Linked DNA regions of Drosophila melanogaster. The protein of the gene in region 3 purifies or fractionates together with the protein of the main gene of each other region. This does not show direct contact. Each region holds a gene or a part of one and is shown on either strand. Other genes may lie near its edges. The genes, in order: dpa, Psf3, Sld5 and Cdc45.

Region 1 (5,736 bases), on a different chromosome or scaffold from region 3:
CGATCTGTTGAATGGAGAAGCCCAGAACTGTCATGGCCTGCACGGTTTCGTTAAACTGCTCCGCATCCGAAACTCGTTCAATTTCAGGAGCGCCACCCATGTTCAGAAACTGGAATTTGTCCTGGTGATCTTTGAGAGAATGGAAATATTACTTCATTTTCTAAGCTGAAATAGGAGGGAGCTTCCAGACATACCCAGCACCAGTTCAGGGTACTTCGATCGCGCCGCGCACAGCTGATAGAATATGTGATAGTTGCGCTCTCCCTGGGCCTGGTACACCACACGTGACTTCTCCAGTAGGTAGGTGTGCATAGTGGCTCCCTGCAGGAACATCACACCCATCTGGTTCCGGAACAGCAGCTTGGTAAACTTTCCAAAGCGGGAACTGTTGTCATTCCGGGTCGTCTTGGCATTTCCGAAGGCTTCCATGATCGGCGAAGATGCCAGCACCTTGCGTTCGACCTGGGTCTCCGACTCGGAACCTCCAACAGCGGCAAAGTACCTCATGGCGTATTTGGCGGACACCGTCTTGCCCGCACCCGACTCCCCACTGACGATGATGCTCAGGTTGCAGTTCTCGCGCTCCAGTTTCGTGTACGCCTCCTCCGCCAGGGCAAAGATGTGCGGCTCCAGATCACCCATAGCATGACCCCGATACGCTCGGATTATGCTGGGCCCGTAAAGAGGCATCTCCGCGTACGGGTTGATGGCCACCAGAATGATGCCGCAGTAGGTGTAGATAATCTGGCGCTCGCAGAAGCGGACACGCAGATTGTGCAACACCCCCGGCTCATGCAGGTAGGACAGGGTGGTCAAGTCGTTCTGTCCCACCAGAATGGCCGGATTGCGCAGTGGAGGCAGATCGCTGCCATCGGCCTTTAGCTTGACCTCTTTCAGTTTTCCGGAGTCCGTACATATCTTCAAGAAGCCGGCGCCCTTGCGGTAGCTCTCCTCCAAGGTGGCGCTCTCCCACACCAGATCCGCATGGGGCACCCAGATCTTGGCGCCCTGCGAAAGAAGTGAGCCGAATTAACAAGTTTTATGAATGGGAGTTATGCCCGATCCCCTCTAGAGACGTCACCCGACCTGGTGTCTTATCAATCGAGCTTATCACACAACCCATTCCCCTGTCGATAAGACACCCGCGAATATTGTATGTAGATGAATCATTTTTAAACATTTCGGGTGCTGCGATGCAGTCATCAATGGCTAATCACCTGCCATGGGAACAAATCAGGGCCAAGAACTGTCGAATGGCCTGCACACACACACACACACACACACACACTTCGGACGGGGGAAATCACGTTATGGGTGCGATTTTATATTGGCACCATTTGCAGACGACACCGACACCGCCGCAATCTGCCACGATGCACTTGTAGGGCATCAATATATACTGTGCAATACCTGCGCGTATAGCATCTCCTCGCTAGACATGGTTCCACTGGCTCCTCCTCCTACTCCAGGTTCCGCTTCGCGCTCCTTCTTTCTCTCCTCTCCTTCTTCCTACTCCGCGTGGGAGTGAGTTGGGTGCATAAATCCCGTTAGGTTTAATTTCCTTGGTGGTACGTTTTTTTTCTGGCTCTGACAGCCTATTTAAATTACCATTTTCGTGGTCTTTTTTTGGGTTTATGTAAATGTACTGTCCTAAATTACTTAAAATTAGCCAGGAATAATTTATAAAAACATTGATAATTTTTAGATCGCAACGCCAAAGTGTGAGAAAAACAAACAAACTTCCGTCCCTGTCACCGCCTGACTGACTGACTTATGTTTTGTTGTTGGCAAAAGGGCAGGGTTGCCAAAGGGCGTGCAGTTTGGGCCAAATTAGAAATGTGTGGTTCTAACCATGGATTAAATTTGAACAAAGTAAAATATCTTGCAAAAAGATTTGTATAATGCCACAGTAACTGAATTTTTTCTTGCAAAACACCCCAGAAAGCACCAATTATTTGGCGCGCAATGCTCTGCAGTTAGATTTTCAGCACTGCTCAACTCACCCATTGGTATTCTTCAACACTGCAACAGTTATTTTCCCGCCAATTTTTAGCTGGTCTGTCCCACCGCATCGTTTTTTGTTTCACAACAGCTACAGTTTTCGCCCAGGACGCACGGGTTAAATAAATATCTTCTCTAAGGAAATGTCAAGCCCCGCTCGTTCGCCCAGTGTTGGAGGTGCGACGCCCAAACAAGGCGCCCGCACACCCACTAGAGGTGAGTATCGACGTGCCACAAAAAGTGTGTTCTGTTTGCAAAGCAAGCGTCTGTCTGCTTACAGGCATTGCGTCGCAAGATGTGGAGACACCCATGCGCATGGGTCCCGGGAGGGCTGTCCGGCCCTCGGACAACATCAGTTTGCCGCCCACCTCGCCGGGAAACATCAGCTTGCCAGCCACCAGTCCGGCTCGAGGATTGGGTGCGAACATGAGCGAGATCGATCTGAGTTCGCCGCTGAACTACGGCACCCCCAGCTCGATGGGGTCCATTCGAACCCCTCGTTCCGGAATTAGAGGCACTCCGCTGCGGGCGCGGCCCGATATAAGAACGGACAAGCGCATCCGCCAGGTGGCCATCGGTGGGGGCTCTGGGGTAAGTGTACGCTGGCAACTCATTTTGGGACTTTCAAATTAGTTTAGTCGCTTTTACAGCTCGAACCAATTCCTGAGAAGGGCTCTGAAACCACCGATCCTGTATCGGAATCTTCGCAAGCACCTCAGCTCGTCGTCTGGGGAACCAATGTTGTTGTCAGCCAGTGCAAATCCAAGTTCAAGTCGTTTATTATGCGCTTTATTGACCCCAGTGCCGAGCAGGACGAAATCTCCGAGAATATTGATGTTAACCAGCCACTGTATCTTCAGAAGCTGGAGGAGATTCACACATTGGAGGAGCCCTATCTGAATCTCAACTGTGCCCATCTCAAGACCTTTGATCAGGACTTGTACCGCCAGTTGATCTGCTATCCGCAGGAGGTTATTCCTGGCTTTGATATGGCCATAAACGAGATGTTCTTTGAGCGTTATCCTGCCGCTCTTCTGGAACACCAGATTCAAGTGCGCCCCTTCAACGCGGACAAGACACGCAACATGCGATCCCTAAATCCCGAGGATATGGACCAGTTGATCAGCATTAGTGGCATGGTCATTCGCTCGTCGAACGTCATTCCCGAGATGCGCGAAGCCTTTTTCAGTTGCAACATCTGTTCCTTCAGCACAACCGTCGAGGTGGACCGCGGTCGCATTAACCAGCCCACGCTCTGCACCAACTGCAACACGAACCACTGCTTCCGTTTAATCCACAATCGATCGGAGTTTACGGATAAGCAGCTTGTCAAACTTCAGGAGTCTCCAGATGACATGGCGGCGGGACAGACTCCGCATAATGTGCTTTTGTATGCTCACAACGATCTGGTGGACAAGGTGCAGCCTGGTGATCGCGTCACGGTCACAGGCATCTATCGGGCGACGCCACTGAAGACTGGAGGCCTCAGTTCGTCGGTAAAAAGTGTGTATAAGACGCACGTGGATGTGGTTCACTTCCGGAAGGTGGACAACAAGCGACTGTACGAGGATGAGGAGGGGTAAGTCTTGCATTTTATTACTGGTTAGAATAAAATTTGATAATTTTAATTACCTACCAGTAAGGATCACATCTTCCCGCCAGAACGCGTTGAGCTGCTACAATTGCTGGCCAAGAAACCGGACATCTACGACCGCTTGGCCAGGGCCATTGCCCCATCTATTTACGAGAACGACGACATCAAGAAAGGCATCTTGCTGCAGCTCTTTGGTGGCACCAAGAAGAAGCATGCAACTCTCGGCCGCCAGAATTTCAGATCGGAAATTCACCTGCTGTTATGCGGTGATCCGGGTACTTCCAAGTCCCAGATGCTGCAGTACGTCTTCAACCTCGTGCCAAGATCACAGTACACCTCCGGTCGCGGTTCTTCGGCCGTCGGTTTGACTGCCTATGTGACCAAAGATCCGGAGACTCGCCAGCTGGTTCTGCAAACGTAAATCTAAAAGCTTGAATCAGATTCGAATTTAGGTTGTAATCTTATGGCTTGTTTTCAGAGGTGCACTGGTTTTGGCCGATAATGGAGTTTGCTGCATTGACGAGTTTGACAAGATGAACGACTCGACACGCAGTGTGCTGCACGAGGTGATGGAGCAGCAGACACTGAGTATTGCCAAGGCGGGAATCATCTGTCAGCTAAACGCGAGGACCTCGATTCTTGCTGCCGCCAATCCCGCCGAGTCTCAGTGGAATAAGCGCAAGAACATCATTGATAACGTCCAGCTTCCGCACACCCTGTTGTCCCGCTTCGACCTAATCTTTCTGGTCCTGGATCCCCAGGATGAGATCTTTGACAAGCGACTGGCCAGCCATTTGGTATCTTTGTACTATGTGACGCGTCATGAGGAGGAGGATACCATGTTTGTAAGTAGCTTGGATCAATTGTTGGTATTTCTCCGGAATATCTCTGTAACATATTCAATCAATTTTCAGGACATGAGCGTCCTGCGCGACTACATCGCCTATGCCCGCGAACATCTGTCGCCTACGTTGTCGGATGAAGCGCAACAACGACTCATTCAGGCCTACGTGGACATGCGAAAGGTGGGCGCCGGTCGTGGCCAGATCTCTGCTTACCCGCGCCAGCTGGAGAGTCTCATCCGACTGTCGGAGGCGCACGCCAAGGTGCGTCTCAGCAACCAGGTGGAATTGCTGGACGTGGAGGAGGCTTGGCGGCTTCATCGCGAGGCTCTCAAGCAGTCGGCCACGGATCCCCTGTCCGGCAAAATTGACGTGGGCATTCTCACCACCGGCTTATCAACAGCCGCTCGCAAAAAGCGCGCCGATCTGGTGGCAGCCATCAAGGAAAACCTCAAGAAGAAGGGCAAAGTTCTCACAGTTCCCTATCAGAAACTGTTTAGCGATATTAAGGAAGGATCCCAAATTGTAAGTGCTAATATAATATATTTATAATATAAAATCAATGTAAACGATAATTTATTGCAGATGATCACACGCGAGCAATTTGAAGATGCCCTGAAGGAGGTGCAAGATGAGGGCGCAATTGTTGTCATGGGAAAGAACACCATTCGTATTTGTTAATTTTATTACATTTATCTCATTCAAAACCAACCGCAAATTCATTCATTCCTATTTTTAAGCGCAACTACAAAAATGTTTTCAATAAAAAAATTTCAAATTATTCGTTTCTGTTTTATCAACTAATATGTAAAGAAAAATTGCACATAATTAAATTATTTGGAAAGTTTATATATTGCGGTAGAAAAATAATTGATTGATATTTGAATATAATTTTTTTATTTTTCGAGCAGCTTATAATGTAAAATATATGGACATGTCAACGTGGAAAATGTTGTCAAGCTTGCTAAAATATTGATAAAGTGATTTATACATAAGAAGAGCACATATCACTTAAATTTGAAAAGGCAGAAAAACTGAATCTTAAAATTCGTGTAATTAAGCATTACTTTGGAAAGCCAAACAAAAACAAATTTCGAATATATAGGAGTACCCCAACTAAAAAAGGAATATCCCAGTTAGTGCCGTTTTTTAGCGCATTTGCGCAGGCGAAGTGCAGATATTTTGGCGCTCTGGCTGCTGCCACACTGTGTGTACGGAAAATGATGGAGTTCGGGAAATCGTCGGATCACTCCCAGCACAGCGCTTCCGAGGCGTCGGCGGACTCCGGCAGCCTGGCAA
Region 2 (4,749 bases), on a different chromosome or scaffold from region 3:
AGAAAACCATGACGGACGGAGGATGAAAAAGGCAGCGGAAACGATGGCGACCTACAAATGAACCGAAGACCATGGACAGACCCTTAGTGTTAAATAAAGACATTATTTACTAAAAAAAAAACAAAAAAAAGAACGATAAAGATGAAAGTGAAGAACTAAGAACAAGAACAAAACTAAAACCAAATGCAGATAAAGCGAATAAACTATGTTGCTTATTTTTTGAAGCAAGCCCCTAACCATTAACGAATTAATGTTGCATTCAATTTCCGCTATATCCACGAAATCGATGTTGTTAACCGCCCCGAAAAATTGTCGAGGGGAATGAATGCTTGTGTTAATACCATAACCTGTTAGTAATATATATATTGCAAATGCAAATGCGGAAGAAGGATAACTGAGCATAGCATATGAAAGCCAAAAGAAATTGGCCAGATGCACAGCTAGGAATGTTCGATGTGCATATATTAATATACATATACATATATATATATATATTAATATTGTGAAAGTCACCAAGGATATATATATAGATACCAGATAACCGGGGACCGTAGATCATTTTTCGGCCATCTATGTAGAGAATATGGTCAAGTGGAAAACGATGTATATATATTTTCTGAATTGCATATCACGATATTTTACAAGACACAAGAATATTAGTAATCAGAATTTTAATTGTGCTACATTAGTATCTTCTTTATCTTATCGTTTAAATTCAAATGCTGTAAACTTGTTTGATATATTTCGATATGCTCATTTTGCGAAGCTTCTGATGTTCAGACAATTTGATATTGATTTGTTTTACTAGATTATCTTTATTAGGTTATCAAAGAAATGAAAAAAAAAACACATTTGTTACATTTTCCACCTACGAGTATAATATATATGTATATTGGCCTACTTTGTGCGCTTTAGCCTAACTTGCTTAGTTCATTACATTATACCATTGAAAACTCTTCCAAAATAAACAAATAGCACAATCCAGACTTATAAGCATTACGGTCCCTGAAATAGAAGTCCTATATTGGTTGCTTTTAAACGAACTACCTATGTACGCTGGACATTGGTGTATATGTTTATTTGTGAACTGTATGTGAAACTAGCACAAAATCAAATTTTAATTGAGCTTACAAGAATATAATTATATATGTAGTTAACTATTTATATGTAACAATGTGGCGCAACATCGCTTTGGCTTATTGCCAAGTCAATGAAAAACGCAGAACGGCAGCTCCTATGTGTTTTGTTTAAGACCGGTCCCGGATTGGATGCTTAGTTATGCGTAGATGTATGCGAAACCCATGTATTTTGAACTGTACAAATGGATTTAGCCGTGTGCATAGAGTAGATGAAAAGTGTATTTTTGAGAGGTCAGGCTGCCCTATGGCCACCGAACGAATGGACGAAATAAAGTTGCTACAGTTCCACAGTACATCAGTGGTCTGTTTTTGTTGTTTTACTCTGCTTGTTACAAGGTGGCCCGCTTGCTGTTGGGCAGAGCATCGCCCTCGTCATCGCTGCGATCCGCACGTCGCCGCTTCTTTTGGTGCTCCTCGACCAGCTCCGAGGTGCGAATCTTGTTGCCCGTCATCTGCAGCCATTCGATGTACTGAAATTATGTGATTAATATAACACTCCGTGCCCACTTGACTGGTAGTACAGCCACCCACCTGACTGTTGGTGCGCACTCCAGCCTCGTGCAGCTTGGCCTCGATGTTATCCAGTCGATGCTCCGCCTTGGCTGCCTGTCCGTCGCTCTTCGAGATGTCCAGGAGATGACGTACCCTCTGGCGCAGCGTTTCGAAGATGATGCGGCCGATGACATGGTTGCGATCGTAGGGCGTCAGATAGCGACCGAACTCGTAGAAGTACGGGTGCAGGCGTCCCAGCTCGATGTGCGTGGTCTCCGCCTCGCAGACGGCCTTATGCACATTGCGATAGATATCTGGCACGGCGACGGTGAAGTAGGCATTGTTTACCTTCAGCTCCTTGATGTACCACAACGGCAGATTGACCGTCCTGCCGGGCTCCAGGTCATCCGATTCCGCGCCGGAGTCCAGGAATCCTGCAAGCAACTCAATATTGTCGGATTACTGGCCAGAATGTGCGTGTCCGTCCAAGCCAATCACTTACCCATCCGCTGCAGCTTGGTGTTCACCCGACATTCCACCTTCTCCTGGGTCACGAATATGTCCTCGATGGAGTAATAGTTCGGAAAATAGTTCATTCCGTTCATTGCGCGGCCCAGCTTTATGATTCGTTTGGTGTTTACTTTAGGTAAATTCAATTTCTTAAGTGCGCGACCTATCGCCTATCGATATTAGATGCATTTTGCCGGGGTCTATCGAGGCAGAAACAGCTGTTTGCCTGGATGCCGAGGCACTCGATAGGTTTTATGTACTATATATATCGAAGCATTTATATGTATTATATGTAAATAGTTTTTCCGGAAAATTACTCTTATTTCAGCGCGAATTTTAAATTGCAGCCTGCACTTGACATTTTTTTATACATAAAATTACTAGTCAGGGTATAATTACTCAAAGTTGTAAATGATGTGGAACATGTGAACTCAGCTTAGTAATAGTAATTCGATACGATTGCAATTAGATGGTTACTTCTTCCGCAAGTTCTTAGGCTTATCTGCATCTTTCAAAAACAAATAAAAATAAAGGTTTCGTTCCCGGCAATGACTATTTTGACTTCAATTTCGAACAATTGATCTTAATCTAGCCGTATGATCATCAAGTCGTCGATAAAGTCGCCCATATTAAAAATCATCAATCCACTTGAGATCAAAAATAGCAAAGCCGCGTGCTTCGAGTTTTTCTTGTTGGCGACGAGGAACGGACAGATGGTCGAAAGAGCCATTTCGATTTAGCTATGTGTGTGCAAGGATTAGAGAAATGTGTGTGTAGTTAATATCAGTTAATAACGAAATCATAGGGAGCACACAACTTGTTCGGTCGAGATTTGAGTTCACAGTAAGAAGTTTGAAGGCACGAGCGTTGAAGTGCGAAAAAGGACTTTGACAGTTAACTCCCGCGTTGCTGAGCACTGGCTGGCTTCGTTGCCCATCGGACTATCGATAAAGTCGAACTGTAAAGCCGCCGCCACCAAAAACTTTTTCAGCCTTCCGGCAAACGGTCATACTCAGCTAGCTGTCCGACGAGTTTTGTTATTGGCGGAGAAAAGATTACGCTGGTTTATAAATTCTCAGTTAAGCCGATTTCTCAGCTCCTCTCCCCCTGCAGAGATCTAACACATCTATATAGATATATATATTTTATATATTCCTTGATCGATTTGCGATCCCGAAAGTCGATCAGCCGTGCGTCTATATATTTTTTTTTCTGTTCTTGCCCCTCGTGCAACATCAGTGAACATCAGCGGCCCACCGTACAAAATCTCAATAAGAAAAAAAGAGAGCATAAAGTGAAATTGCCTTTTGCGGCAAGTAAGAAAACGACCAAAAAAGAGAAAAGAATATAACGACTATTTGAATTAAACAAAGTTTATTGTTTACAATAGCATACAATACAAGTTTATAAGCTAACGGGCGTCGCTGTGCGTGTGTGTGTGCTTGTGTGTGCGTGCGTGTAGTTGTTGCGCCAAAAATTCCAATCGGAATTCTGGAACAGCTGGCCACAACAACAAAACGCGGCCAATAGAAGAACAATTTAGCTGCTGAAAAATGGGCGACTTCGATCTGAATGTGGACAGCTTGATACAGCGGCTGCTGGAGAGTAAGTAGATGCGAAATTTCCCCCTCTTTCAATCCTACTTTCCCAAAACCTCCCCCCCAAACCCTCTACGCCCCTCCCACGCCACTGTCCCCATTTTAATTTATTACACAGTTTATCTGCGTGTGTGTGTGTGTGCGATTGCATTTTCTAATTATTGCACATTGTTCGCTTAAATGGTAGTAGGTTTTCTTTTTGTTGTTGCGACAGCCCCTCTCTCTACCGCCGCCGCCGCCACCGCTGCTGCCGCTGCAACCGTTTGAATTTGACTCTTGAATCAATTAGTTTTAATTGATTTTCATTGCTCCTCTTGAAAAACAGCAAAAACCATAAAAACAACAACAACAACAGCGACAGCATCTACGCTACGCTCATTAGCGTTTACATAATACTAACAGTGATCGCGCTGTTAAGCACGCCATCTCTGTCCTGCGCTAATGTCTCCCAAATGATTTTTGGTTTATTAGCTGTGTTTTTTCTTGTTTCGCCTATATTGGCAATGACGTCATCGAGCTGATAAACACGGGCGTGATTCAAACAGAATGTGTAGCTATGAAATCGCCGACGAAGGAATGGAACGGAATCACATGAGTTACTCGATAAGGAGCTTTGTCGCAAGTAACCCCACTGCCCGTTGGAGTGGGATCGCTGTTCGTGTCACGCAACTATCGCTAAAGACGGTTGAGAAATCTACGACCGATATATCCTATATTTCCTAGCCCCCAAGAAGATATTTTTATCCAGCGATCAATATCAATATAATTTTTACTGGGTATCGACCGCTATAGCCGATATCCACTGTATGTGGCTTAGAATGGGTGGTGGGGGCTGTGTCATCGTCGTCATCATGCAACCTTCCTGCAAAGCGTAAAAGCGCTAAATAGTTTACATTTTTGCAACCTCTTCTAGGTTTCGAATGCGATATGCCTTTGCCCTGGTGAAAACCCAACATCTGCGAGGGTTGCTTAAGCCGCTTAGTGCTTGTCTCGTTTTGCAAGTGTCAGCC
Region 3 (3,239 bases):
TGGGTGCCCTTGCCGGCCCCGGGACCGCCCAAAACAAAGACAATCTTTGGCTTCTCTACGCTCATGATTCCGATATTGTGTGGTGGGGCTGTGGAGGTGGTGGTGATGAACCTATTGCTGGCCTTGGAATGTCGCAATTGGTGCTGCGTCAGCGCTGATGGTGCGAGACCGACTCCTGGTGAACCGCAATCGTTGGCTACTGCTCTCAACGTCGTTCGTGCCAAAGCCCGCCACATTGACGACTGAACCAAACTGAAGGCAAATTGAATGCGTGGTTTATGTGTATGCCGCCTGCAGTACACCTCACCACTGTTTTCCACTGGAAACGTAACACCCTGTGACGTCACGCACAAGCGCAGCTGTTCGCGGGCGTCCGTTCGGCAACACTGGCGCCGGCTTTAGCGGGAAGCGAACCAATTTGAATGGCATTTTATGCAGTTTACTTCCGGTTCGATATTAAATAAATTAAATTTAATTTAAATATTCTTCTACAACATTTTTAAATGTACCCTTAAACATGCAGCTTTGCAGAGTTTGATTTTTAATTTTTTTTATTATCATGTATATTACCTGCTAAATAAGTCTTTTAAATTAGCTGCGCTTGGTTGTTTTGTATCAAGTCGGCCACTAGTTGGTAGGGAATAATATGCTGGGAGCCGGCCGCCATGTCCACCTCCTCATCATCGACGCCCACGATCACAGCGGGCACTGGAAAGCAAAACAAGAGTTAAGCGGTTATCTTAATTAGATGACAAAAGGTTATTACCTGCCACATTTGCCTTAAGAAAGACATGGCTCATCAGATTGGGCGTCACAATCCTCTGCTCCGCCTCTCCTCTCTGCTGGTTGGGCATGTACTGGGTGGCTACTTTGTGGAAGTACTCATCCACATTACTGGCAAACTCCTGGGCGAACTTAGTCTCCTCGGGAGACAGACGTTTGTCATCCGGCTCACGGCTCTCCTCCTGGTTGAGGATGTGCTGCGTGAAGGTTTCGATCTTCTGCAGGCGGCAACGCAGATAACTGGCCATTATGTAGCGCACCCTCTCCAGTTCCATGGAGTGCACCACCGCTCGGAAATCGTTCTTGTCCAGATCGCGCATCTGCTCCTCCATGTGGGCCACCTGGGAGACCATCAGCTCCAGCATGTCCGTCTGGCTGGGCAGGATCTCCGGCGCACACATTTCATTTATCCACGCGGTTTCTATGATTTCCAGAACCTAGGGATATCAGAATGTGATTACTTGCGTATTAAAAAGCTGTGTTACGATTTACCTTACCTTCTGAGCTGTAATCTGTTCCATATCGTCATCATCCTCATCCTCCAGTCCGGCGCCATCGCTGACATCGATTTCTAACTGGGTTTCGGGCACGTCTTCTACATCCGACATGGTTTTATTTATTTGTTTATTATTTTGCAGATTTTGGCGCAAATTTTGGGAATCGTTGGGAATGTCACTCCAGTAATACAGTTGACGTTTTTCATCACTGTTTCATTTGTTTTTACTCCGTGTGAATGGCACGTCTAACCGTTATCGATATCACAAAAGCATGCGATGGCAGCCGCACAACAAACTGAATTCCAAAAGAATTTTAGAGTGATTGTAGAGAAGATCTTCAATCACTGGCAGGATCTCCGGCTGGCGGTGGAGCATGGCATGGGCGGACGCAATGGCCAACAGGTTGTTGCTCGTATACCCTGAAACCGTCTTCTTTTCTAACCTAATCGGAGTGTCCGTTTTGTAGGTGGCCATAGAAATCATGGACTACACCTACCAGTACTGCGTGTCCAACGAAAATATCACGCAAGGCGAACTGGTGGAGGTCCTGGAGGAGCTGATGGACCAGGAGTTTAACACCCTCTGCGACGACGACTCCATTCCGGAGATCTGCCGGAATCTGCTGCGCTACAAATTGATGGCCCAGCAGAACCAGTTTCCGCAAATAGAGGCTGAATTGAGTAAACTTCCTGCTGGCAAGGAGTGGCTGCGTCCGGATGTTAAGATCACCTACACACCCATCGATGGGGACTCCTCATCCGATGAGGACATGGACGACAGCGACGAGGAGGACGATAATGAAATGGGCCAGGGCGACGAGGAAACTCCCAGCGGCAGTGGTCGGATGACGCGATCGCAGGCACGAAAGCAGCAGGCTGAGGAGTTTGTGGAACCGGAAGACGGCTGGACCACCGTGCGAAGAAAATGAATTTCGTCGGGATGATTAAAAAGAAACCTGCTAGTTTTTTAGTTATAATACGCTGTATTTACTTCCTGGAGGTCCAGAAAACGCAGTGGTGGAATAGGTGCACGTGTCACAGGTTGGTGGAAAGTCCTGCACAGGTTGCAGTTCACTGGAGAGGCCTTCTTTGATGCGGAATCCTGGCTGACCTTGCCTTTTTGCAACTGCGACCAGGAGGTGAACTCTGTCCCCTTGGGCAGTGCCAGCTTTGGATCCACCACCGAGGCAATGGAATCAACATCCACTGTCATCGATAGATTTATGGCAGGATAGATGAGGAAGGCAAAGAACCAGGCGAAGACCAGCACCAGAAAAGGCACAAATACGGCAAAATACTTGTCCGGCAGATACGAGTGCAGACCAAACTCCACTGGCAGCAGCGCCCAAGTCACGTATACGAGGAAGAGGACCGTGAACAGCATATAGAAGGCGAAACCATAGACCGCCCTATGGGGAGTCGGAGCTGGAGTGTGTTCCGGCATTGTCGTTGCTCTCGGGGATTAGTTTCTCTTTCTTGGAGTCTCCGAACTGGTTGATGGTGTCCTGGCACAGGAGCAGGCACTCAAAGAAGGAGGTGATGGCAGTGCGCAGGCTCTTCACTTGATCCGACTGAAAGTGCACAACCAGAACATCGTTCTCCAGGCTCAAAGTTTTTTTCACGAAATTCCGGCGCGGCTCCTGGTCGACACCGAGGACTTTGTAGGCGATCTCGGCCAATCGTGGCGTCTCAAACGGCACTCTTATTATGCTAATGAGGCGAATATTTATTACTAAATTTATGTTTATTTCTTTGTTAAATGGTTAAACTTACGATTCATTTGGTTTATTTGCAATTTGTGGCATCATAAAAGTTTTAACCAATCTGAAATGCTCACATGTCAACGGAGAAAGTTAATGACAATTTATGAAGAAGAAGCATTCACCGGCTGTTTATCTCGTGAACAGCTGATTGAAGAATTCAAATGTTTAAAAATGAGCATTCTTCATAATCACATTTA
Region 4 (4,568 bases), on a different chromosome or scaffold from region 3:
ATTCCTTCAGCCCTATTTTGTGGCCAGGAAAGAGGCCGCAAGCAATACCATCTATGTGGCATCTGGCCACAACCATCCCGCCCTTCTCAGCACCCACATAGCCGTCGATCCGCCCAACTGGCTGTGTTCCAAGTCCCAACAGATTCTTTCGGACACTGGCAGCTTGAGGTGTCGCTTTCGATTCCAGCACACCAAACCATTGGTGGACTGTCAGCTGAGCATCTCTCCCAGTAACACTTTTCTTGTCGAGTTGGACGCTCCTTTAAGAGCTATTACACCAGGACAATATGCCGTATTCTATGACGACACAGCTTGTTTGGGTTCGGCCCGCATCCTCAGCGCTAATCCCCTAAAGAAAAAAAACGCACAGACGCAGCAAGCTCAAGCCGCAAATCTGGTTAGCTAATGATGTTTCCTCTGAGCCAGAAAATAAACCAAATGTAAGAAGGCAGTCCAACTGCCAACACGGCATGTATAGATAGCATGGTAAATACGTTTTCATAAATTTAAGCGCCGAGTAAATTTTAGACGTGAATCGACACTTTTAATTCCATGGTAAACACTTTAATTTAAATTTATTATTCTAGGTCAAATTTACAATTAGTTTTTGAAAAAGGACATTTTGCATTTTGTGGTCCTGGGAGCAATGATAAAGTTATTAACACACAATCGTACATAAATAGGGTTTGGTAAAATCTTAAACTAAGTGTACACGTGAGGTCTCGCGATATAAAACTAGCTTAGCACATAATATGATTGAGCAGGGATGTGTCGGTAGCAGGTAGAATAGAAAGCGGCGTGGATTAGGCTAACAGCACCGTGAGGGAGTCCAGAAAGCGTGTGAGGTCGCTCTGCCGCAGCTGCACCACCGCTGGCTCGAAAAAGTCCTGCAATAGAGCGACTCCACTCTTTTGCGCCGCCTGCTCGAAGGCCTTGCCAAAGAAGTTTCGCGGAGAGTCTTCCCTTACCGGGACAATGCCTACCAGCAAGCACATGCCCTCCGAAGCGTTCAGGGGACAACTTGCGATCAACGGCAAGTCCGAAGCCTGCCTGGCTCTACTCGTGGCCACATGTCCGCGCAAAAGAAAGCGAGCCAACAGTCCAAGGGCATAGGGGTATGAGAAGAACGCGTGTTCCTCCTGCAGAACGTAGTAGAAAAAGGAGCCCGCTGAATGAACTTGGCGTGCCTCCAAGCTGCTCTGCACCTGCCGAAAGACAGCAGCATGCAAAAGCTTCGCCTGGTCGATGCCTGCAGACAGCAGCTGCTTGTGCTGACGACTCAAAGCATCCGAGGCCTCCAGAAAGCAATCCTCCGGAGTCTTGTGCTTCTTCACGGACTCCATGATGGCGAGCAGGGCATAAACGTAGTCCGCCGCAGCATATCTGCTGCGGTAGCCGTAGCTCAGCGTAAAGGTGCCGTAAACTATGTCCGCTATGTCGTACTTCTCCGCCAGGCGCTCCACCATCGAGAAGAACTCCTTGCGCAACACCAAATCCATGGCTCCGTACGTTTGGCGGGCGTGCACCAAGGGAAGTCCCATCTCGAGCAGCAGCTCGTGTAATCTCTTCTCTCCGCGCAGTGTCCACAGCTTCAGCTGGCATGAGGAGTAGCGGGAATACCTACGATTATACTACATGATTAAATGGCATAGAATACACTGTCAATGCTCACCTCATGGATTCCGTGACGGGCCAGTGGCGGTACAAGACCAGATGCAAATCATTCTCGAAGGTTATCTTGGAGGCACTCATCGTGTTCTGATCATTCGTTTTGTTCGTCAGTCGGGACACATGCGACTGGATTTGCTCCAGCTCCAAAGTATACGCTCCACTCTCGATCTTGCCCAGCAGCAGCTGCTCCGTGATGCCCACAATGGCCCACCAGAGCAGGTCCATGTTGTCTTTTGAGAGCTTCCAGGCCAACTCAAAAACCATCAAAGCGGCGGACCTGCCGTAGTAGCTGAACTGCGTGTACTCGAACATAATCCTGTCGCGCTCAGACTCCCACTGTCGGCGGGCTCGCTGCTTCAGGATGCGTTGCTCGTGCCGCTCCAGGCGACTGAGCTTACGGCTCCTTGGCGCCTGATCCTCCTGGTCCGATTCCCCGGCACCACTGTCGTCGTGCTGCTGTTCCGTGTCAGAGGACTCGTCCTCATCCTCGTCTTCACCTTCAGAGTCATAGAAAATTGTCTCGAACGCTGGAATATTCTCCTCCAAGGAGGCATCCCCCAAGATGCACACCTGCCGATCGCTGTAGATGTTACACACATCCAACGGGCGATGTGAATCGCATATGAAGAAGGTCACGTCGTCCGACGGCTGCAGGAGCTCCACAATATCTACACAGCCGCCGCAGTTCACCAACACCACGTACTTAACGTCGCCCTGGTGCTCTCCATAGGCCCGCTTCAGACCCGTAACGCCCATTATGGGCACCACGGTGTACAGCATGTGATCGTACTTGAACAAGGCCTGCAGGATGCGACTGGCGCAGATGGCATCGATGTCGTAGTTGACCACGATCAAGATGCGCTTGCCAACCAGCTGGCGGTAAAAGTCGTTGCGCAGATCCTGGACAAACATGGTGAACACTTCTGGCGGGAATCCCAATCGTCTGCCTAATCTGTCTACGTCTAGACACAACGGTCTCTTTCCAATCGCTTACGATGCAAAGTAGAATTCTACATGAGTGCAGTGCGTTGCATTTTGAGGGTTTCCCTGCGGCTTGCGCTATTTTCCAGCTTCCCACTGCCGCTCCACTTTTGCTTTTCTGGCAATCGCAATTGGCGAATCAAAAACGCGGGAAACAGCTGGCTTAGCCAGTGTGACCAGTGTGAAATAATGGAATGGCGCGGAAATACAATCGTTGCTGGGAAAAGAATATTCTGCGAATTTCCAGAAATTTTGAGCTGCCAAAAACCGAAATTATAATCACATAATGTTGAATTTTGAGAGCTCTTTGCAGTTGCTGCTATTGCAGTAGGAGCAATATCTTGGCGCTCCAGATACGGTCACACCGCGACGCCCATGTGTTTTGAATTGCCACAAAAACGAAAGTCTACCAGTCGACCAGCTTTGTGCGACAAAAGCCTCAGAATATGAGCAGGGACAACAAGATGAAGCACCTGACCCAGCGGGCCATCTCCTCACGCATGAACTACCTGTTCCAGGCCTCGAATTTAATGGCAGTAGGCAATCAACCAAAATTGGCCGCCTATTATGGCAAACTCTGCCGCAATGTGGGCACCAAGGCTATCATGCACATGTAAGTGGCTTCTCCAGTGGAGTATGGGCAAATAATTCATGGCGTCAACTGGTTTCAAGGGCCCCGGCCGTGAAGCGTTCCCTGTGCAGGCGCTGTTTCCTTCCCCTGATTCCCGGAGTGAATACGGAGCTGCATGTGGAGGAAGGAGCACAGGAGGCCAAGACTGATGCACAAGCTCAATCGAACGGAGCAGTCAAAACGAAGAAAAAGCGCCATCGCAGGCAGCGCAAGAAGCCCAGAAGCCGGAAAACAGGGAACACCAACCAGGAGGAATCCGAGGAGCAAATCCAAGAAAGTACTGAACAGGTCTCTTTTTTCTTAGAGTGCTCACTCTGCTGCGGCCGGCGAAGCTTTGCGGCGAACAGTCAAAGAGACTGCTGGTTGGAGCAGCCGCAATCCATAGTGCAAGTGGTCTCGCTCCCCAAAGAGAAAGACGAGCGATAAGCTGAAGCTTTGCTTATCAGCCAGCCTGCCTGTTGTGCCATCACCTGATTGCTCGGCAGTTGAGCCTGGAATGCTTAGCTGTAGGCAACTTATTTCTCGGCTGAGCCTTCTTCGGCAGGCGAGCACATTTGCTTGTGTGCGACTATGCCCCGACTATGTAGAAGTCCAGGAGGAGCAGGGCAATCTCCTGAAGTACCCCCAAGTTTGGCTTAGGGACAACTGTCAGTGTGCCGAGTGCTTCCACGCCGCCACAAGAGCAAGAAAAAGTCACTGGGATCGTGGCCCGCTGAATATACCAGTGTCCCAAGTGGCCTACAACAAGGAGAGGAAACAGTTGGAGATCATCTGGCAGGACAAGCACAGGAGCACCTTCGATCTAGGCTGGCTGAGGGAAAGGGACTTTGGAGAGACTGGCAGAAAGCATTACTTGGAGGAGGTCTACAAGCCACCCGCTCAACTCTGGGGAAAAACGGAGTTCGAGGATGTGAAAAGAGAATTCCAATACGAGGATGTGCTGGAGCAAGATGCAGCCCTGAGAGTTTGGCTTGAGGCACTGGCAGTCCAAGGATTCGCCATTCTGAAAGGGGCACCCAACGACATAAATGTGGCTAAGAAATTGGCCGAACGAATTGGCTACATAAAACGCACCACCTACGGGTAAATATTAACCAATAGATGACATACTTCATCGTACAGTACCAGGGTCATAAAACTCACATTTGCCGAGAGCTGTATTATCTATCAGTCCACTAAATATTATCACTATCGGTTGATTGTTACAGCCAGAATCAGGCAAATATTTTCAACCAGGTGTCCATTTGTACTCATGATAAAGATTTGATTACCACTTACTCACGCT

What was found.
Region 1: the proteins of Sld5 (region 3) and dpa purify together in Drosophila melanogaster (affinity purification with western blotting; 2 studies listed by BioGRID, with this or other methods). This does not show direct contact.
Region 2: the proteins of Sld5 (region 3) and Psf3 purify together in Drosophila melanogaster (affinity purification with western blotting; 2 studies listed by BioGRID, with this or other methods). This does not show direct contact.
Region 4: the proteins of Sld5 (region 3) and Cdc45 purify together in Drosophila melanogaster (affinity purification with western blotting; 2 studies listed by BioGRID, with this or other methods). This does not show direct contact.

Annotation. Positions count from the first base shown.
Region 1 is NT_033778.4:7,496,183-7,501,918, reverse strand, and holds dpa (disc proliferation abnormal), read left to right. Parts: upstream 1-1,773; 5' UTR 1,774-2,144; coding exon 2,145-2,217; intron 2,218-2,281; coding exon 2,282-2,592; intron 2,593-2,651; coding exon 2,652-3,580; intron 3,581-3,640; coding exon 3,641-4,012; intron 4,013-4,073; coding exon 4,074-4,440; intron 4,441-4,509; coding exon 4,510-4,962; intron 4,963-5,022; coding exon 5,023-5,118; 3' UTR 5,119-5,217; downstream 5,218-5,736. Other genes in the region: didum (dilute class unconventional myosin), read right to left, coding at 1-129, 195-1,008, 1,411-1,440; CG1620 (uncharacterized protein), read left to right, coding at 5,658-5,736. UniProt on the Drosophila melanogaster protein: Acts as a component of the Mcm2-7 complex (Mcm complex) which is the putative replicative helicase essential for 'once per cell cycle' DNA replication initiation and elongation in eukaryotic cells.
Region 2 is NC_004354.4:10,382,818-10,387,566, forward strand, and holds Psf3 (partner of Sld five 3), read right to left. Parts: upstream 3,045-4,749; 5' UTR 2,237-3,044; coding exon 2,134-2,236; intron 2,066-2,133; coding exon 1,671-2,065; intron 1,610-1,670; coding exon 1,469-1,609; 3' UTR 536-1,468; downstream 1-535. Other genes in the region: flw (flapwing), read left to right, coding at 3,695-3,746.
Region 3 is NT_033777.3:26,055,101-26,058,339, forward strand, and holds Sld5 (Sld5), read right to left. Parts: upstream 1,448-3,239; 5' UTR 1,392-1,447; coding exon 1,281-1,391; intron 1,221-1,280; coding exon 767-1,220; intron 709-766; coding exon 587-708; 3' UTR 557-586; downstream 1-556. Other genes in the region: Cmpk (Cytidine/uridine monophosphate kinase 1), read right to left, coding at 1-236; CG14543 (uncharacterized protein), read left to right, coding at 1,557-1,682, 1,747-2,208; PIG-P (phosphatidylinositol glycan anchor biosynthesis class P), read right to left, coding at 2,247-2,723; Tcs6 (Threonyl-carbamoyl synthesis 6), read right to left, coding at 2,689-2,989, 3,053-3,087.
Region 4 is NC_004354.4:1,027,745-1,032,312, forward strand, and holds Cdc45 (cell division cycle 45), read right to left. Parts: upstream 2,813-4,568; 5' UTR 2,584-2,812; coding exon 1,673-2,583; intron 1,621-1,672; coding exon 804-1,620; 3' UTR 547-803; downstream 1-546. Other genes in the region: CG3021 (uncharacterized protein), read left to right, coding at 1-406; Rpp21 (ribonuclease P/MRP subunit p21), read left to right, coding at 3,099-3,265, 3,325-3,709; CG14630 (uncharacterized protein), read left to right, coding at 3,780-4,366.